Nothobranchius furzeri: one gene and its partners. The protein of the gene in region 1 interacts with the protein of each later gene in a pairwise test. Links are inferred from orthologs where the notes say so. Each region holds a gene or a part of one and is shown in the gene's direction. Other genes may lie near its edges. The genes, in order: segment polarity protein dishevelled homolog DVL-3, syt6a, bromo adjacent homology domain-containing 1 protein and pitx1.

What was found.
Region 2: the proteins of segment polarity protein dishevelled homolog DVL-3 (region 1) and syt6a interact in binary tests that used the Homo sapiens proteins (3 or more experiments, as listed by UniProt). The two-hybrid records come from large-scale screens. The link is inferred for Nothobranchius furzeri from reciprocal best matches to the Homo sapiens genes DVL3 and SYT6.
Region 3: the proteins of segment polarity protein dishevelled homolog DVL-3 (region 1) and bromo adjacent homology domain-containing 1 protein interact in binary tests that used the Homo sapiens proteins (3 or more experiments, as listed by UniProt). The two-hybrid records come from large-scale screens. The link is inferred for Nothobranchius furzeri from reciprocal best matches to the Homo sapiens genes DVL3 and BAHD1.
Region 4: the proteins of segment polarity protein dishevelled homolog DVL-3 (region 1) and pitx1 interact in binary tests that used the Homo sapiens proteins (3 or more experiments, as listed by UniProt). The two-hybrid records come from large-scale screens. The link is inferred for Nothobranchius furzeri from reciprocal best matches to the Homo sapiens genes DVL3 and PITX1.

Annotation. Positions count from the first base shown.
Region 1 is NC_091751.1:58,279,964-58,285,033, reverse strand, and holds part of segment polarity protein dishevelled homolog DVL-3, read left to right. Parts: intron 1-3,752; coding exon 3,753-3,884; intron 3,885-4,238; coding exon 4,239-4,406; intron 4,407-4,500; coding exon 4,501-4,701; intron 4,702-5,070. UniProt on the Homo sapiens protein: Involved in the signal transduction pathway mediated by multiple Wnt genes.
Region 2 is NC_091755.1:39,409,467-39,414,536, reverse strand, and holds part of syt6a (synaptotagmin-6), read left to right. Parts: intron 1-383; coding exon 384-774; intron 775-4,143; coding exon 4,144-4,705; intron 4,706-5,070.
Region 3 is NC_091742.1:23,421,986-23,427,055, forward strand, and holds part of bromo adjacent homology domain-containing 1 protein, read left to right. Parts: intron 1-2,348; coding exon 2,349-4,106; intron 4,107-5,070.
Region 4 is NC_091750.1:54,396,198-54,401,716, forward strand, and holds the start of pitx1 (pituitary homeobox 1), read left to right. Parts: upstream 1-1,860; 5' UTR 1,861-2,006; intron 2,007-2,653; 5' UTR 2,654-2,662; coding exon 2,663-2,708; intron 2,709-5,519. UniProt on the Homo sapiens protein: Sequence-specific transcription factor that binds gene promoters and activates their transcription. May play a role in the development of anterior structures, and in particular, the brain and facies and in specifying the identity or structure of hindlimb.

The DNA of each region.
Region 1 (5,070 bases):
TTGTTGTCATTTGTTTGTTTATCTGACTGTTTGCACTGCTGTGAAAGGTGCACCAACTAAACGTTTTCACGATCAGTCTTTTATTAATACTCCGATTCTCCTCAGACATGTTTGTTAGTGTGGCCTCGCCCTTAAACCACATTCCTGTGACTCGTCTCTGTTCCATTTGGGAGCCTCACGGCTTCCATCTGCTGGATAACTCCCGGTCTAAGCGGAGCCATAACTCACAAGTTTAATCTTCTCTGTAATCTTTGGAAACGACTGGGATGTTTTAGCTTCATTTGTCGAGAAAAATGTTTCCTTCCTTCATTTCTATGTTCCTGAATATTTGGGTTAAATAGAATCACACTTGACTTGATAAGACCTGTAAAAATCATTCTCGTTGTTTTGTCATGAATCTGGTTCATTTTTGTGGGTTATATTTCACATGCGGCTGCAGAAAAGTAAAACTAGCTTCAGCCGTCATAAGATGCACAGTTGGGTTTTGTTTCAGTCAGTGTAAACCGTGCAGCCACTTGTGTGTAAAACTACAGAAAATGCATTATTACTGATCTCTGTGCAGCATTTGGATTCGTGTAATAGATTTATTATTTGTGCATGTGCAAAATGTATTTTCACAACCCCGGTGCAGTGAAACCCTGGCATGCTTCCTGTTGCTTTTGGCACTTTGTTACAGGGGTGTGGACTCCCAGCTGGGAATCACCGTTGTGGGGAGGTTTAATATTCCATGGTCTGGCTGTTTTAAAGCTGCTGCATTTTCTGTGAAAACGAGCAAAGTTTTGGTCCGGTCCAAGTGCTTTTCATGGACAAGGCTAAGCTATGTCTCACATTTTTGGTGAAACAAAATAAGTCAGATATCTTTTTAGGCAAATTCCGAACACATCCGCATTTTTTAGTAAGTAAAATCTCAGACCTCTAAAGGAGAACAAGGCAGTTTTGGCTTGCTTTTAGCACCCTCTAGTGTCCAATTGTAGAACCAAAAGCAAAACCTATCTCCTCGCTGTGTGTTGGGTTAGAGTCTTTTTTACACCTTAATCTAATAAAAGCTGAAACATCTCCCTAGCCTGTTAGTGTCTACAGGAGTGATTCATCACTAAATTAAACAAATCAGCTGTGCTCATGATCAGTGGAAGAAGGACAATCTGCATGTTTCCCTAATTGCTCTACGTGACAGTTGCAAATCTTACCAGGAGGCAGTTAGATCTGTTCCATTCTCACTTCCTTAAACTCAAATAACCCTAGAGTACTTTATACCGCAATTAACTCAGTTTTGAAAGTGATTGATCACCATTTGGTGCAGGCTTCAGCTAAAATGTGTGATGAGTTCTTTGACTTTTTTATGGGGAAAGCCCTTCTGCGATACTATCAGAGGTTTGATAGCATTTCAACCAATTAGTTTAGATGACTTGATCAAGATTGTTGGGGAGGCTAAGCCGAGCGGCTTGCCAGGTGACGTGATGCCTGCGCGCCTCTTTAACCCTCCCACCGTCTTTATGGGTGACCCCGCGAGGAAAGTTGACCATTGAGCAGGATTGATGGTTTATCCCTTGAGGCCCACGTGGCAGGGGTGAGGCGGTGCTCATTCCTCACCCCTGCCACATGGACCCAAGGGATGAGCCATCAACCCTGCTCAATGGTCAGCTTTCCTCATGGGGTCACACCCAGTAGGACAGTGGGAGGGTTAAAGAAGTCTTTCCAGTAGTCACCCCTCTAATATTGCACATAATTAACATGAGCCTAAGCTCTGGCGTAGTCTCTGGTGATTTTAAAAAGGCGGTTGTTCAACCTTTGCTCAAAAAGCCTGGACTGGATGCTTCACTGTCTGCAAACTACAGGCCCATTTCTAAACTTCCATTCTTAAGTAAGGCACTAGAGAAATGTGTTTACCACCAGCTCTTGGTTTTTATGGATGAGAATGGCATTTTTGAGGCTTTCCAGTCTGGCTTCAGAGCTCTACACAGCACTGAGACTGCACTGGATAGAGTGCTCAATGACATTTATCTAGCTACTGATAGCGGTAATTCTGTGTTGTTGCTTCTGTTGGACCTCACGGCAGCCTTTGACACGATGGACCATGAAGCGCTGCTTCACCGTCTCCATTATGTCGGGATTTCTGGGTTAGCCCTGGAGTGGTTCAGATCATACCTGACAAATAGAAAGATGTGTGTAAGGATGGGAAGTTATTCCTCAAAGTACTCTGATTTACCCTGGGGGGTATACCACAGGGCTTGATATTGGGACCTTTGTTGTTTTCTACTTACATTCTGCACTTAGGTGACATCTGTAGTGAGCTTGGAGTTCACTTCCACCTTTATGCTGACGATGGTCAGCTGTACCTGCCTCTGAACACGTCAAGTGGTCTCTCTATTTCTATTCTTACGAACTGTTTGAGGGAGATCAAGGCCTGGATGAGTGGAAATTTTCTGAGCTTAAATGATCAGAAAACAGAGGCTATATTGTTTGCTCCAAGCAGACATTGTGACTCTTCCCTAACTGACTGTGGGTCATTTAATGGCCAGCTGAGTGCATCAGTGACTAATCTTGGTGTTAAACTAGATAGCGCCCTTAGTTTTGATACCCACATCAATGGAGTGCTCTCCTCCTCCTTTTTCCACCTTCGTCGGCTGACAAAGATCAAACCTTTCTTGTCACGACATGATCTTGAGACGGTAGCCCATGCTTTTATTACGGTGTGATTGGACTACTGTAACAAGGGCTCAATAGCCAGGTTGCAAATAGTGCAGAATGCTGCTGCCAGGTTTTGAGGGCAGGCGCAAGTATGACCCCATTACTCCTGTCCTGGCTGCGCTTCATTGGCTGCCCGTTGATGTAAGGATTCGTTTTAAGTTACTTTTGCTGGTTTTTAAAACGTCAGATGGTTAGGCCCCTCCTTACTTGGTGTCACTGCTTCAACCGTACACCCTTGCACGGTCACTCTGCTCGGAGAACCTCATGCTCCTCTCGGTCCCAAGGTCACGCCTAAAGACGCGTGGTGATAGGGCCTTTGCTGTGGCAGGTCCTAAGCGTTGGAACGAGCTTCCTCTTAGCATAAGGGCCTCCACCTCTGTGACGGTTTTTAAGGCAAGGCTAAAAACCTACTTTTATGATCTGTCTTTTAATCTTTCTAACTAGTTTTTATTGTTTGACTTAAAGTGATCCCACACATTCACTGTGTTGTTTGTCTGTATCGTGTGATCCAATGTTTTTATTTTCTGGACCTAATGTTTTATGTTTTTACTTGGTCTGTGTAGCACCTTGGTGGCATGTTTTTGCCTGTAAGGCGCGATTTATAAATAAAGTTGAGTTGAGCAAAACATGCAGGAAACATTCTAGAACCAGACTAAGTCCCAACAGAGCAGCCCGCCAGTCTGAAGTTGCAAGTGGAATATTCTGGCCACAGGTGGTGATAGAGGCCTTTCACTAATAGAATAAAATAGACTTTATTGATCCCACACTGGGGACATTCTCTTGCTACAGCAACACCAACACTTAAGAGAATAATTTGAAGAAAAATAATAACAAATGTACATGCACATACAGATAAGCTGTAAGCTATTATTGTAACCTTTGACCACTAAAAAACCATGAACTTGGCCCTTCTTATACAAAGCATCTGTGTTGTTGGATCAGTTCAAATTGCTGTTGACTTTGTAAAGGGTCATACTGGCTCAAGAAAATGATTTAAAATTATGAAAAAGTTGCAAAGTATCCCTTTAAAACTACATATTTGTGTGTCCTCGTCTGTCTTCTAGGGTTCGATGACTTCCACCTCTCCATCCACAGCGACATGGCAACGGTTGCTAAGGCCATGGCCTGTCCTGAGTCGGGCCTGGAGGTGCGGGACAGGATGTGGCTGAAGATAACCATCGCTAATGCCTTTATTGGTATGTTTATAAGACCACCCTTTTGGACTCTGTCACAACACGTGAATTATTATTCTAAAATACAAACCAGTGTTAAATCCAAGTGTTGGTTTTAAAAGACGGTGAGTGATGGAGACTGCTTAACAGTGAGAGAAGCTCATTCCAAAGCACAGAAGACGCATGCTTTTGCAGTAGTAGTAATTACATTACATGCAACGAGAGTCGCTGCTCTGTTGAAGCGTTTGGGCGGCTGGTGGGACGTGCGATGTTCTGACATATTTTTTCAGTGTTTGTTGTTCATCACAGGTTTTATAACGTCATGTAACAGCTAGCAGTCAAATGTCAGAAAATAAATTCTCTATTCTGCCTCCTCAGGTTCTGATGTGGTGGACTGGCTCTTCCACCACGTGGAAGGGTTCTCAGATCGCCGGGAAGCACGAAAATACGCCAGCAACCTGCTGAAAGTCGGCTACATTCGACACACAGTCAACAAGATCACCTTTTCTGAACAGTGCTACTATGTGTTTGGAGACCTCTGTGGCAGTGAGTGGACTTTGAAATGTAGTTTTTTTTATGTACGAACTAAATGTGGTCAATCTAAAGGTCATAATCTAATTTATGTGTTTGTTTTCTTCAGATATGACCCACCTGTCCCTACATGACCATGACGGCTCAAGTGGGGGTGCCTCAGACCAGGACACTGTCCCCCCGCTGCCCCATCCTGGAGCAGCTCCTTGGCCAATGGCACTGCCGTATCAGTTTCCTATTCCACATCCCTATGACCTGCCACAGCCGTTTGGTGGTCCGGGCGCTGGCAGCACAGGAAGCCAGCACAGTGGTGAGTCTGGCTTCAGACTATTGTGTAAACTCAGGAAAGCTATGTTTACCCAACGAACAGTTAGATTATTATCTGTTTATTTTATCCTCACTAAAGTTGTCTAATAAGCAAATGCAAATAATGATACTTTATTGTCTTAACGCACAAGAGGGTAATGCTGCTGCTGGAGGCGGCAGTGAGTCGTGTTCTCAGGAGCAAACCTGAAAAACGTTCTCTAAGTTCTGCTGTTTTATCCAGTAAACAGAACAGCGTGTGCCACATTTTTTCTTTAACAGTCGGACTCTGGAGCCTTTCCCAGCACATAGCCAACATTTTTATTGGTTTCTTCATTTCACTTGAATAGCTTAACCCTAAAGCTGCAGCCCCGAC
Region 2 (5,070 bases), on another chromosome or scaffold:
GCCTGATTCTGATATTTGTTTTTACTGTTTGTCGCACTCAAATTACTGTTACCTTTACAGCCAAGAGTATGTCAGAGAGAGCAGCCTGTGTGTGTGTGTGTGTGTGTGTGTGTGTGTGTGTGTGTGTGTGTGTGTGTGTGTGTGTGTGTGTGTGTGTGTGTAAGAGGGCTGTGTGTACCTAATAAAGGTTAGTTTAATTTTAATGAAGCACACCTCTCTGTTGTTTAGGGTTGTACAGAAAGCACTCATGCATTGTCACTCTGTATTAAATCCTGTTCTAATAGACTCGATTTCTCTGTGTGTGTCCTCTCTCATCCTTGTCGTCACCATCTGTTTGTCCATATTGTGTGATCCTGTTTCTGGTCCCTGCGGCTCACCACCAGACGTTACTTTTGGCCTGGTTCTGGGTCTGTTTCTTGTTTGTGGCCTGGCTCTGCTGGGCCTCCTTACGCTAGTGTCCTGGAAGCTGTGCCGGGTGCCTCGGCAGACAAAGGCCCACTTCCCCAGTCCACCTCTCAGCCCGGCCGGTAACCCACGACGCGGCTCGCTCCAGCAGCCTCCCCCGCTGCCCAGTCCCCAACAACCGGCGGTCACCATGGCAACAGAAAAGGTGAAGGACCCCATAGGCTCGCAGGCTTTCCTGGAGGCAGCAGTGAAGATAAGCCATACCTCTCCCGACATCCCCACGGACGTGCAGCTCTCCATGAGGGAGCACTTCTTGCGCCGCACGCAGCGCATGCAGAGACAAACCACTGAGCCAGCCTCGTCCACACGGTTAGTCTCTGTCACACACACACACACACACACACACACACACACACACACACACACACACACACACACACACACACACACACACACACACACACACACACACACACACCTATGCACAAACCTGACAAAATAGATAGCAAAATGAGTTTTGTGGCGTATGAAGTTGCGTAAATCCAACAGAAATAGAAATGTACATCTGAAACTGACTCTCTACTTGGATCATTCACTCTGCCAATAATTTCATTTTACATTACTGAAACCTGTTTTCAAGCAAAACCTCAATAAATAAACACCTCCCCGTTCACGAGCAGCTGCGCATAGATAAAACAAGAAGAACACCATAAAAACGTCTTTTAGAAGCTACAACCTGAACAACTGGAAGGTTTTGGTGAGTAAGACTAAACATCTGTCGACGTCTTTCCTGCATGACTTGAAGTATTTTATGCAGCAAAAATCACCCCAAATCCTCCTTTACAGATTTACAACAAAGAGCAAATAAAGGGCTTTTTTAAAGCTTCTTAATGTTTTCCATATTAGGTAACTTAGAGGTAAAACATGTAAGACATTTTAGGGATTTAACTTAAAATATTTCATTTATTTAAAAATATTACATTTAAAAGATGTCAGTGACCCTGTTAAAGCACAGGAGCCTCATTTATCGAGCTTGCTTACGCACAAAACGGGGTCGGAAAACTTCGTAAGCAACTTTCCACGCAAACGTCGGGATTTATGAAAGAAAACTTAGAGAAAAATGTGCACAACTTTAAGTTGACTAAGGACCTGGCTTACACACATGCTGGACATGGAGAGCACCTGCAGTGCTGCTGCTGAGAAGGATAAAATTATGAAATCCTGCAGCATTATCACTTGTAACGCTTCATTTTCACACAGAACAAGACCCCCCCCCCCACACACACGCGGGTGTTCACACACACACACACACACACACACACACACACACACACACACACACACACACACACACACACACACACACACATGCGCGCGCACACAGCCGGGCCACTTTTTTATATCAGCCACAGATCTCTCTTAAGAACTCAGCATTGACGGCTTCAGCAACGCTGTACCACTCTGTGGATTTTCTCTTATTTGTTTTGCAAAAGCACTTCCTTTCATTTCTCCACCTCACCCACAGGTACCTCAACTTCTGCTTCTGTGAAATAGCGCTTCCTTGATCTGCCTTGATCTGCGGTCGCCATCGTCATTGGTGGAGCGCTGCAACAAGCCGGCTTATGTATATGCATGAGATCCACAAGGGACTTTGCATTGACCATTTATGGTAGAAAGTGGGCGTGGTGAGGGGGGGATGTGACTAAAAAGCAGCTGAGAACCTTTCTAGATAGTCTCTGATTTATGAAGCTGAGATTACGTGCAGCTGTGCGTCCTCCATGTTTGATAGATCACAAACCTACTTGGCGTAAGTACTTTTTTTTTGCTGAGCTTAAGCACGGTTTTAGTAAGGATTCTACGCCATGTTTTATAAATGAGATGCAGTAGCTTACCATTACTGGCAGTGTGTGAATATGAGAATGCATGAAAGCATCTTTGAGTGTCCTAAAAAGCGCTATATAAGTTTGATGTATTGTTATTATTAACATTATTTAACCAATCAGCTTTCAGGTTCATCTCACACTGATATCAGAAGTTCTCCTCTGGTCAGATTAAAGCCATCACCACCAAGTTTTGCTAGCTAAACACATCCTCACTAATACTTTTAATTTCTTTTTATTTTATTCCCACACTGAGATGGATTTGGTCTCAGCTGCAGCTGCAGTATAGAGGAAAGATGTGAAGTAGTCTCAGCTGCTTTTCTTTTGTATTCATAACGGTACGCACTCTCAACAGTATGCTAATAGATGAATGAACAGCAAAGTATGAACTCTATGTTATGCAACTCCCTCTCACTCACCCGCTCTCGTACCTGCCCTCCTTCTCTCAACGTGCCCCACACACACCCTGCTATTGTATAACGATGAATAAATGTAAAAAAAATCTGTAAAAAAACATATTTCCTCAGTGTTTATTGGCACACAGCACAGTTAGTGAGACCCAGCTCCATGTGGTCTGAACAAGAGTCCTGCAAAGTGTTTGTTGCTTGGATAATTGTCACATCATAGCGGTTGGTAAGTTGGTATGTCGGCTCAAGGACCAAATGCAAAACCTGCCACTGATTCGCAGCTAACAAGTAGAGGATTGCTTCTTAAAGAAATCCTCATATTAGGATATTTCTCCAGCCAGTGACGCTTTAGTTAGTTTAGTTTATTTCAAACAAGAAAACATACATAATTAAAAAAAAAATACCACAAACAGAAAAAGTACATATCATCCCTTCTTCTGTGTTTGAAAAGGAGTAGGCTGAAGTGGAAACTTATATGTCCCTACCCCTTTATACAAGTAATTTTTACTTGTTTACTAAATCTAACACAAAACCTACATTAAAACAAACAAAATGGTACAAGTCACCAAAAACCACCAAACTATATGGAAAAAAAAACAAAAAAAGAAAAGAAAACATCTTTTTACAATTGATACAATTTACTTTTCCTTAGAATAAAGGAGACCCACATAAATCATCTATTTTCCACTATATACTTGTTCAGAATATGTTTTTTATAATTCATTTTAAACACATTTATATTTGTACTTACTTTGATTTCTTCTTCTAAATTATTCCATAATTGAACCCCTATTATTGTGATACGCATCTGTTTTAATGTTGTTCTAAACTTATGTATCTTTAAGTTTAGTGTCCCTCTCAGGTTATATCCTCCTTCTCTCTCTGTGAACAGTTTCTGTATTTTATCAGGCATTCATGTATTTCTTACTTTATACATTATTTGTGCTGTTTTGTATTTAACCAAGTCCTGGAACTTCATTGTCCATGTTTTAATAAAAAGTTCATTTGTGTGATCCAAATATCCTGCATTTGTTATTAATCTGATAGCCTTTTTCTGCATTGTCGTTATTGTTTGTAAATGACTTTTGTACGTGTTTCCCCAGACCTCTACACAATAGCTCAAATATGGCAGTAGCATCGTATTGTACAACATATAAAGTGCTTTCTGATTAAATATATACTTAGCTTTCCCCAATATAGCAATGCCCCGTGCAAGCTTCCCCCTAACATATTTGATGTGTGGCTTCCAACAGATTCTGCTGTCTATGACCACCCCAAGAAATTTTATTTCATGTACTCTCTCAATTTTTACATTATTAATTACTATATCTAATTCATTGTATAATTCATTCATTGACGATAATAAAACAAAAAATCCGTTGTCTTTGTTCAACGTAAGTGAGTCTGGACTCCTTAATTACAAAATTGACACTGTTTTTTTGTCTTTGCAGGCACAACTCTTTCAAAAGGCACCTGCCCAGGCAGATGCAGGTGGGCAGCTTAGATCTGGGAAATGATTATGTAGCAGACAAGGATGAAAAGCCAACAAGCATCGGCCGCATCCAGCCAGAGCTCTACCAGCTGAAGGCCCCAGAATCAGAGGATTCCTCCAAGAACAGCAGCGGCAAAAACTGTGGCAGGATAAACTTTTCACTCAAGTATGACTACGAGAACGAAGCCCTGCTTGTCAATATCATCAGGGCCGTCGATCTGCCTGCCAAGGACTTATGTGGTACTTCTGACCCTTATGTGAAGATCTATCTGCTGCCCGATCGCAAGAAGTTCCAGACTCGAGTCCACCGGAAGACGCTCAACCCCACGTTCATTGAGAGCTTCCAGTTTTCCGTGCCTTACGAAGAGCTGGCAGTCAGGAAGCTCCACATGAGTGTCTTTGACTTTGACAGGTTTTCTCGGCATGACATGATCGGAGAGGTGGTGTTGGAGAATTTGTTTGAGACGTCGGACCTGTCGCGAGAGACAAACATCTGGAGAGACATCGAGTATGCCACCAGTGTAAGAATCAGTCTGATTTTACTTTTTCCCCTAACAGATTCATTCTCTGATCACTAGCTGAAAAATAACACCTTAGTTCTATTATCTGAAATTCTATGAAGCCTTAAGCCCTAGGGTCCCCCAGGTGGGGGGCCCTGTGACGTTAGTTCCTTAACAGGCCCAAAACAACCCTCACACTACAGAAGAAATAGTTATAATTCCCATCAAATCAACCAGCAAACCCAGCGCTACAAGGCCATCTAAACTGTTTAGCGCCAAATTACGACAAGAGTCATCTCAAGGCACTTTACATAGTAAACATTCCAATACATGTCAGTTCATTAAGCCAATCAGAAAAAAATTTCCTATATAAGGAACCCAGCAAA
Region 3 (5,070 bases), on another chromosome or scaffold:
CTTGTTAACAGACTAATAAACCAAAAATGCATTTTGGGCAAAAACATTAGCATCCCCCTTTCAGTAGGATATAATGGCTAATCACGTTATAAAGAAAATGAAAACATGTTATTAATCTGAGTAATTTGGCTCAGAAAGCTAATTTATTGACTGTATTGTCTTTAGACATCTCATTAGGCAGGTAGACAGTCAGACTTTAGATGTTCATGCTGAAATTCCTGTGCGCTTAGTAAGCATTTCAGCTGACACTCGAGCTGCTTACTGCTAATTGAGTTTAGCTGCTAAATATCTCCACTGTGAGTGTTAGTAATGATATCATGCAGCCATTTGAAAGGTGGACGCAACAATTCTCCTTCTCTGTGGAAGGTGCATGTTGGCACAAGGAACGTGGAGAGCTGTTAAAGTGATCAAAGACGTCTTTAAGTTTAAATACGTACCATTTAGCCCACTTGTTGGTTTGCTTGTTTATTTATCTCCATTCAGATAAATGGTTAAGGAAGAATTTTTCTTGGCATTCCCTTATCAGGCTAAACATTTCAGACTAAACAACCGGCTCTTCGCGAGCTGTTACTGACCCTCTGTGTGCACACTAACTGATAACACGGGTTCTTGGTATGACTGCTTCAGGTTCTTCAATAAGACATAAAACAAAACACACAAACGTAAACTCATTGTAACAGGCGGGCATTTCAGATTCTATAGCTGAAGATGAACGTAAGATAAAGTGAGTGAGGTCTGATCAGACAACCATCCAGCCAAAGAGTGTAGTCATTACTAGAAACACCTTTATGCGTTCTATCAGACAATGCAACAAATGAGTCGTCTGTTTTGCTTTCAGTTTCAGTGTGTTTCATGACTTAATAAGACCGATCTTTGTCTATCTTTAAGCAATGGCAATAAAAGATGTTAGAAAGGAAAACTATACTTTCAAGGGAAAAGGCAGATATTTTGTGGTTTGCCTTTACTTCCAGCAGAGCAGCTCACCAGTCTGAAGTTGCAATTGGGATATTCTGGACACAGGGGGCGATAGAGGGCTGGGTAGCCTTTTATTAACCCTGGAAAGGGTTGTTTTAGCACATACTTACTCAAGATAAAAATTTAAAAAATTTGCAAAGTATCTCTTTAAAAGGCCTTTACATTAAGGGTTTTTGGCAAGCCCACATTTACATGTCATTGTTCAAGTATTTTCACAATAAGAGTCCAGGGCAAGCATATGTGCGTTAAAACAACAACAAAAACCAGTTCCTATCGTTTTAAGGGTTATATTGTATTGTGGTGTATAGGCTGCTCTCCAGACTTGCTATAGAGTTATTTATTCATGTGTTTTAATTTAATTAGGGCTCACGTGGATTACTGTGACATTTTTAAAATCACAGATGTATTCAGATAGCAGTATTTACTTTGTAAATGGACCTTTAAAGCTCATTGCTTGCTTTTCACCATGATGGCTGGAAGGCATTTCAAGTATGATTTGAAGTGTTTTGTGAAGGAGGGGTCTGTTGTTTCGAACCAAGGTCATTCAAAGAGATGTCTTTAACTTTCCACAGAAATCTACTTCAGAAGATCTGGAATTCCTCTTTACATTTTATGACTTGTTCCGTGGGAGCCAATTATGCTAGATGATACCCTAACTAGGCTAGTAGGTGCAGTGTTTCCCCTAGAAGTTTTTCCATCCATGGTGTAGGGGGTTGCAGAGCATCCTCCGTGAGGGGCTTGCGGGGCCGCGGCCAGGCCATATTGGATCAAGTCAGGGGTACCGTCCAAGGGGTTCTGAAAGCTTCACGAGAAGACGGTCGTAATTGCTCCACATCTGAAAAGCGCGACAGGTTCGCTGCTATGCATCGTCTATGAGAGCGGGGTGGGGGAGGGGGGTCACGAGTGGAATGTTTCGCTTCCATGCGTCTCCTGTGGGGGGATCTCGTAGGCGTGGCACTGGAATTTTAGCTGTGGCGCAGTGCCACGCTTGAGCCTGTGTAGGGGAAACACTGAGGTGTCATTTCTGGTAAATGTCTATGGTGTGACATCATTCTGGTAACGATTTGTTATAGATGGTTCTTTTTTGTTTATACATTTGTACAAGCTACTTCCTATTTATGGGATATACTTGGGAACTTTCCGTATTATGGCTATGTTGCTAATACATGCTAGTAAGCAGTTACCCTTCTGTTTGTTGGATAGATTACATTTGGACTTGGTCATTTGACAAAACATAAGGCTTCCGTAGCACAAGGAGTTTGTATATCAACACTGTTTTTTATTTTTTCAACTCTTTAGTGTGTAGATTTAGTTGTTTTTCCCTGTTTGGCCTGTTTTGATCTCTTCTGTAACTTTGTGCTTCTTTTCTCTAGGTTCTATTGAGAAGCATGTGATGACTCATGCGAGGCAGACCGCTTCCCTCAGCCAGAATCACAGTAGTTCTGAGTGGTGGGATTGTAGTCGTCCTTGGCCTCATGCTGGCGCAATGGGAGGCGACTGGCCTGAGGGTGCGTTACGATTTGGCAGGACAAAGAAAATAAGTGGGATCCTGAAAGAAGAGAAAGGCATGGCGAAGAGGAGGAACAAAAAGAAAGAGGGAATAAAACGTTCAGACCAGGAGAGAAAGCTGCACCGGAAACAAGAGAAGAAGCGCAACCGAAAGTTGTACCCTTTGCGAGGGAGGGCTGGGAATGCGGATGAGGAAGGGCGGAGCTGCAATGTTCTCCTCACTCGTTTTGAAGAAAGCTTACGCAAACAGGAAAGGTCTAAAGAAAGGGGGAAAAAAGATGGTCACATATCCAGAAAAGGGAAATGTAAGAAAAGAGAACAGGCAAAGGTGTTACCAAAAGGCAAAGTTAAGACAAAAGGCCTAGATTTTGCAAAGTGTGTTGAACTCAAAGACTTGCTACCACGCAAGCGTAGACTAGCTTCCCTCAATGCCGAAGCGGTAAACAGTTTACTACTTGAAAGAGCTGATGCTCAGCCAGCAGCCAAACAGGCCAGGAGACAAGAGGATTATGTGGAGGGAGGGGTTCCCTTGGATCCAGCCAGAGGTAATGTGCAAGGGGGTCTGAAAACTTCACAAGAAAACGGTCGTAAATGTTCCACGTCTGAAAAGCCTGATTTGTTCCAAAGTTCCAAGCTAAGCAAGAAGAGAAGTGATGAAAGTATTTGGATGAGCCAGGAATGTTTGAATGCACCTACACCGAGACGGTTGGCTGGACTTAATGCTGCAGCCCTGCTGAAGTTAACCAGCTCCTCTGCTACCAGTAAACAGAGAGCAAAGCCTACACCTACAGCAGCTAACACTTCAGAATATGTAGTCCCTGCTGCAATCTCAACCCCAAAGCAGCACCACAAGGTCAAATCCCAACACAACAGTCGTGTACAGAAAAGAAAGGGCACCAAAGCCCCCCCAGGGCCTGGTTGCTGCACAACCTGCAAAGAGAAAGTAGACTTTGAGCCCAAAGTGGAGTGGGAGACGGCCAGCTGCAACCGTTACCTGACCAATCAAGGCTATCAATCTCGTAGCATGCTAGCATACCCGCTGAAACAAGTGAAGGAAGAACAGCTGGAGGCCGAGCTGAGTCCATACTACTGCTGTCCAAATGAAGGCTCTGTGGAATACTGCCACCGCTTGGCATACTTCCTCAGTCAGCAGACCTACGGAGACTCCGAAGACCAATCGCTCAAGTCAGCAATGCCTCCTGTGAAGCCAGAGTGCCTAGTAACCTCACCATCACTCACGCATTCCCACCCACACACGGCCCTCACCCTCAGCCCTCACCCATGCCTGTGCACAGCGGACCACTGCTTCTCCAGCTACTATGTCCACATTGCCCACCCAACACACACTGGAACTAATTCAGCAACCTTAGCCACACAACCTCTCAACTTCACCTCATCCAGTTTGTGCTCCAGTCATATTAGCAGCTCCAAGCTGCTGGGACAACAAATGTCTCATGCCTCAGGGTTAACCCACCCTTCCTACTGCAACTCTGTGTCTTCTCCCTGTTATGGAGATGCCTGCGGCGTCACTGGCTACACCTACAGAGCAATGCCTCCAGTCACAAGCAGAGGCTGTTCCTTTAGTACTGGATGCACTGGATGTACGCACAGTATCAAGAAAGGTGAGTGGAAAACGTAAACACGCCTAAATGTCATCAGTATTGGGAAGAACACTCATTATAACGTAAGGAGTAGGCATGGGCGATAAATCGATTTAATGAATTAAATCAAATTTTTGTTGCGGAAGATTTTAAAAAAACTTTTATCAAATTGTTATGTAATAGCGCCTTTATTGTCCCCCCAGAGCTTCTGTAGCGTTAGTTTCACATAACCGCGACAACAACGTCACAGCACGCACACGAAACAGCAACAGCAAGCAACTCCATGGCCACCGGTGAGAGTGGGAAGTTTGTTCCTAAAAACGGAATTAAATCATCCGTTGTTTGGAACTGGTTTGGGTTTGCTGCGACGGGCGTGAAGCGTGGCACTTTTATTCCAATAGGGTGATCATTTATCCATTATTCATCTCAGAAATGAGGGTTACATTTGTCTTGCTTGTGATTAAATAAAAAACTAAATTGGCTTTAACGTGCCTTCCATTAGTACTTATTGCTGTTCTTAATAATTGAGGGGGAGAGAGAATCGGAAAAAATCGTAAATTGAATTAAAAAAATAAAATCGGAGACTTTATTTTTAGGCCGTATAGTGAGAAGGTCAACTTTATTTTGATCTGCCAGATAGAATCCAAGCTTTGATCGAAACAAAAGTGGTCTTACAACAGTTCGCTTGGGGTAGGCTGTTCTTGTGAGTGTTTGTTGAAAAACATGTCAACCTCAAGTGCATTTACATAGTTTCTTGTTAGTCGATAGGGTTAGGTACAATCTTTTCAGAATGCACTTCTCCAATCTGAACTATAGTGGTGTTGTTGACTGATAACTCAGGAAGGCCAGGGACACATAACTAGATTTTTCTTTTGGTTTGAATTAAATAAAAGCATGTGATCATTAGATTTTAAAATCCCTAAATAAATCAAATCAAATCAAAGATACTTTATTAATCCCAGAGGGAAATTAGAGTTTCAGTACA
Region 4 (5,519 bases), on another chromosome or scaffold:
ACAACAATCTGCATATATATATATATATATATATATATATATATATATATATATATATATATATATATATATATATATATATATAATAGCTATACTTTTTGCTAATTTTATTTATTAATTTTAAACCTAATAGAAACCAAATTATGTTGTTTTTTAAATGACAACAAATCTCTTATAACTTTACATCTACGGGAGAGGTGGGAAAAAAAATCAGAATTGAAACTTTTTCCTCATAATTCTAAGGTTTTTCTTTTAGAAGTCAGACAGGAAAAATACTTTTTTCCAGTGGCTTTAATCATCTTCTGTAGACATTTCTTAAGAATAATGAACTTTAACATTTCAAAAGGTCCTGTTCTGGTTTTGGCTTTTTATTCATGTGAAAAAGGCCTTTTGGATTGCTGCAGACTGCTGACCTCTGGATGCACCAGAGGTTTACATTTACTAATATTCTTGCTTGTAAAATAAGCAAAAATCTTGTTTTAGAGAGGCGCGAAAACAAAGTTCCAGGCAGGAGGGGTGTAATGGGAAAAAATTGGACTAGCTGTTAGCTCATCAATCTTGTAAGTTTTCAAACTAATAGTGTTCACTTAGTAAAGTTCACTTTATAACTTTAGTCCCCCCCAAAAAAAAGAACATTTGAAAAAAATTTACTTGGATGGTCTTAAATCTTAAAGTGTCCAAATTGTCTCGTTAATGGGGAGCTGGTGTTAGAAACTGGGCAGAACAGCTGCTAACGTGAGAGGAGCCGAGAAGGAGCCTGAAGGAGGTCTGATGGAGGCCCGCAACTCCTCTTTAATCCTTCTGTCTCAGAGCGGAGCTTTGCTTTGTGCGCAGCTCTTGGCTGCATTAAAAAAGAAAACGGGATCAAACAAATTTCACACTTTCTGTAAAGTTTCTGGTCAGAGGAAGCTGCGCACGTGAAGCTAAAGCTGGAATTATTGATCCAAAACGGATTCAAACGCTTCTAAGTAAATCAATGTTTTTATTCTAATAATGAAAACTCATAAAGGGTTTTGAATACTTTAATCTGCTCGGCCGCCTACCTGACCTACATCCTCTGCTCGGATACACACACTCACACATACACATACACACACACACTCACACATACAAACACACACGGAAAACATTAACCTAATTACCAGCTTTAATTGATTTCTATGATTTTTCGGAGCGTCGCTTTAACCTACATTATACACTTATTTTGTATTAAAATAAACTTTTGATCGGAGATTAAAAGTTAAATAAAATATTTTTGTCTGTTTAAGTAACTCAAAAACTGTTAACGGGTGTAATCTGAGCAACGTTAAAGATTCAGTAGCTAAAATAAAATAAAATGTAATATATGTGATTTAAATAAATAAATGTAGCTAAACATATGAGTCAGAATCCATATGGATTAGGAATGATTATTTCCTGTTTGGAGATGAAAACAATAAAAAGTAATTTTAAAATAAAGTTAAAAAATACTTTTTTCAGATATTCGACCTTCACTTATTATTATTATTATTATTATTATTATTATTATTTTCGATTAGATCTTTTTACCTTCTTCAAGTTGTGTTTTCATCTGCTACATTTATCAGTAATAACAATAATTATAATATTTAAATTGAAGCAACCGCTAAAATACAGAAATCAGGTTTCAAACATTTTGCAATCGAAAAACTGTTTTAAATCCTAATGAAATAAATGACGAAAATGAAAAAAAGTGGGAAATCGATGCCGAATAAAGCTGTGAAGACTCGGTCATACCGAAGATGCGGGAGGATGAAGAAGGTGACGGGGTGGGAGACTAGGGAGGGATGTGTGACGTCACGTTGGGGCTGTGCAGTAGAGAGCCAAAGAAGAAAACCAAGGCAACAACTCGGAGCTAACCAAAGCGCCGATCACCGAGGACGCAGCGTTTACGCACAGGCAACGCTAAACTGGATTTACTGGGACACCTGCATGGGACACCGTGAGGCGTTTTTACTTTTACTCTTTCGTCTGCTGGGAAACAACTGGTGAGAAAAACACGTGCGTGTGATTTTAGGCGATTGGAGACTTAACAGCTCAATTAGTAGCGTTTTTACGCACCGGGCTCACGAAGAGCTATAAATGCGACAATTCATGCCGCTGTGATCAGTGTAAACTGCGCGTGTTCCTATCTGGTTGGAGGTCAAAGAGGCAGGAGAGGATTAAGCTAAAATAACCGTTTTATAGAGAACACGCATCTGCGTTCAGATCAGCGCTGGTGATGGGAGATAGAGAGGACACGAACAGCAAATATATTCCTGCATCTGTGGATGCGCGTGCGTGCGTGCATATGTGTGTGTGGTGTTAGGGGCGAAAGTAAACTGTCTCTAGGTCAGTGATGTTACTGTTGGGCCCAAAACACGAGATGAATGAATGAATGAATGAATGAATGAATGAATGAATGATAGAAAAGCATTCAGTGGCAGGCTGTCAGGTGGAGCTGCTGCTCTGTAAATATTGGCTGATTTTCGCTTGGTTCCTTCAAAGTTGTTCTTTCACATTTCCTTGTAAAACCATGTTTGAGGATTGGAAAAATGACAAGAAATCAGCAGTGATACACCAGCGTGTTGGTTCAACTTAAAATGACATTAATAAATAAAGTTAATATGTTTTGTCCTCTGGTTTTGTTTTTCAGGTAACTGGAATGGAACTGAATTTGTCCAAGAATGTGATTTCCTGTGGGGACCCAGGTAAGAGGATGCTGCAGGTTTAAAATGTTTGTGAATTAGAGATTTCTCCATCTTTTACGCTCAAAAAGCTGCTTTGCTCAGGGAGCTATGAAATGTGGAACTGGGAGATGCAAATTAATTTTCTGTCCGGTTTTTTAAAAAACGAGAAAAAATACCCTCTTTTGGAATTATCTAGGAACTGTTTTATGTAAACATTGTCTTTAATTAAAATATTTTCAACTAACCAAACTTTAAGATTTCAGAGTTTAACAAAAACAATTAAAGATTAAAAAAACATTAACAAATGTAAACTCGTGCGCAATTTAAGAGGGTTTGGACATTTAAATTGTGTAATACGCTGGTATATTTTGTCAGTTTAGAAAAAAAATTCTAAAAAATGCAACAGTGCGTAAAATTGGAGTTGTCACCAAGAGAAGTACAGTTATTTTATTTTAATCATGATTGTAGAAACTTTAGAGAACGTTTAAATGATTTATAAGTAATTTATTGGGTTCATTGGGAATGCTGACATGTTTTTCTAAATTGAGAATGAGTTTTGCCAATTAGCAGCTGTTTTAATTACTCAGACTGTCTCTTTGTGGGTTTAGGCTGGTAGTCACACTGCGGGTCAAACAGGCCTTTTAGACCCGAGCAGGGAAAACATCACCAAGGCAATAATCTGCTCTGTCCTTCTCCAGTTACGCACCGTCTCCAGTTACATCTCCGCTGCCTTCCAGTTTTTTGCTGCTTTGTTTTCTCTTGCGCGCTCCCCTTTGCTGTGCGGAGAAATAAAACACAAATACTGTAATTTTATGTGATGAACAGCGTTCGCAGGGTTTATTTTGACTTCTTAGAGAGAAAAACATGAGTGTTTGCGCTGTCGCTGGCCTTTAACCTGTCCTGCCGGATGGAAAGACTTTTTAACTCATCCATCACACGCAAGTGCCCTCCAGAACGGAGAAGGACGCGGGCAGGGATGGAGGCTGGGTATTTAGATTAACACCATTTATCACACAGCCGTATGAAGCTCAGAGATCTCTGGAGCTGAGGTGGCGAGACTCCCAAGCGCAGTAAATCCCATAATACTCCAAAGCGGACCAGAGGGGTCGTTGGGTTTACGCAGATTTCAACTGATCTGCATAAATGTAGACTTCCAAAATTCTAACGTGCATGTATGTTGATGCAATTTTGGATTCTTCTTTAAATGAGAGGCCAGATGATGAAAATAACGCTGATTTCACGAAATGCCGCAAAATCTTGCGTGATTTATGATAATTAACATATATGAATTACTGACACATCTCCGTTTGTGCAACCTATCGCGTTTGATGAGTAGGATGTTGGATGAGACTGGACTGCATCCAATATATTTTTTAATTCGCCCAGTGCTTAATGGGGCATTTTTCTAAGGGACCAACATAGGCTGAACCTTATAATCATTTCGCATGCAAACAGTCGGTGATAATTACATCTATTATTGGTCACGTGACAATGCTGCGTCCAGATGAAGCTTTTGAGTTCCTGTGCAAAATACATCAGAGATGAAAAAACATTTACGCACAGACGCAGTGGTGTTTGTTTGCGTGCTGACACATCTTTATATACCAAACTATTTTAAATAAATAAATAAACCATCTTTAGTTTTAAACTTCCCAAACCACTGAAGTGAAATTCACCCTAAATTCCAAAATCACCAGATCTTATTTGAGAGTATTCCTCCGGCAGGCCAGCACAGGCCCTCAGATCGGATGCGTTCCTGTCACTAAAACACGCAGCGTGTGGAGAGGATGAAGAGCAGATGGCAAAAGCCAAGCGATTGCTGAGAGCTTTCACAATTGTTTGGTATAGGGCCTTCGGGGGTGTTTCCTGGTTGGACGGGGATCTTATGTCAGAAGTCAGTCATACAATGGTCGGCAGTGGCGCCGGAGACGCTGCGTGGTCCAGACTTGATTTTACCCGAACCAGCGCCCCGGTTAGGCAGCAGACGCACCAAACTAACCTCATTTATGTTTGCACCTATCCGTTCTGTGCAGATGAGAACGACATACTTAAGTGTGCATGCGATCATTATTAGCAGTGGTTTGATAACGTGTATATTTTTTATGTTTTAATTTTTAATTTTAGCAGCATTTTATTCCAACGTTTCAAACCAAAGTCAGTTAAATTCATTGGATAATATTGGCTGGAGTGTATTCCTCACGTGTCTTCGAAAGAGAGTCTCATTTTTATCTGAGCCAACAGAACAACAGTGCGCTTTAGGATTCGACCCTCGAGTTGTCGTGCGTATAGCTGCGCTACAAGAACGACTGTAAAAACAGTTTTTGCAGTATATTATCAAAACATTTGCTTATGTGCACGCTGACCTTCACAACTCCACTGACTCTTTCTCCACTTCTCTTAGTGTTAATTTGGATAAAAGACACCTGCTCTGCTCTTTTGGCTTGGAGCACTGGCACAATCTCGGCGCAGATTGTGCCAACGAAACGCCATCATCATCGGCAACCATCATAGCCTCATTTAGATGTAAACAAGGATAATTGCAGCACCTCATTGGGTTTGAGTGCGTAAAGTGCAAATGCGTAAAATGTCTGAATAGAAATGAGGTTGTTTGGACAAACAGCTGCAGCACATTCTCTGGTGTGTTCGGTAGAAAAGATCCAGTCTGTGGCACACATCAGTCAAAGGCACGTTTCATCCAGAGATCAGTCAGTGGGCAGGCCTGTGGTCAAATGTTTATTCAGCTCAGCACATAATAGAGATATACATTCACCGTGTGTGTGTGTGTGTGTGTGTGTGTGTGTGTGTGTGTGTGTGTGTGTGTGTGTGTGTGTG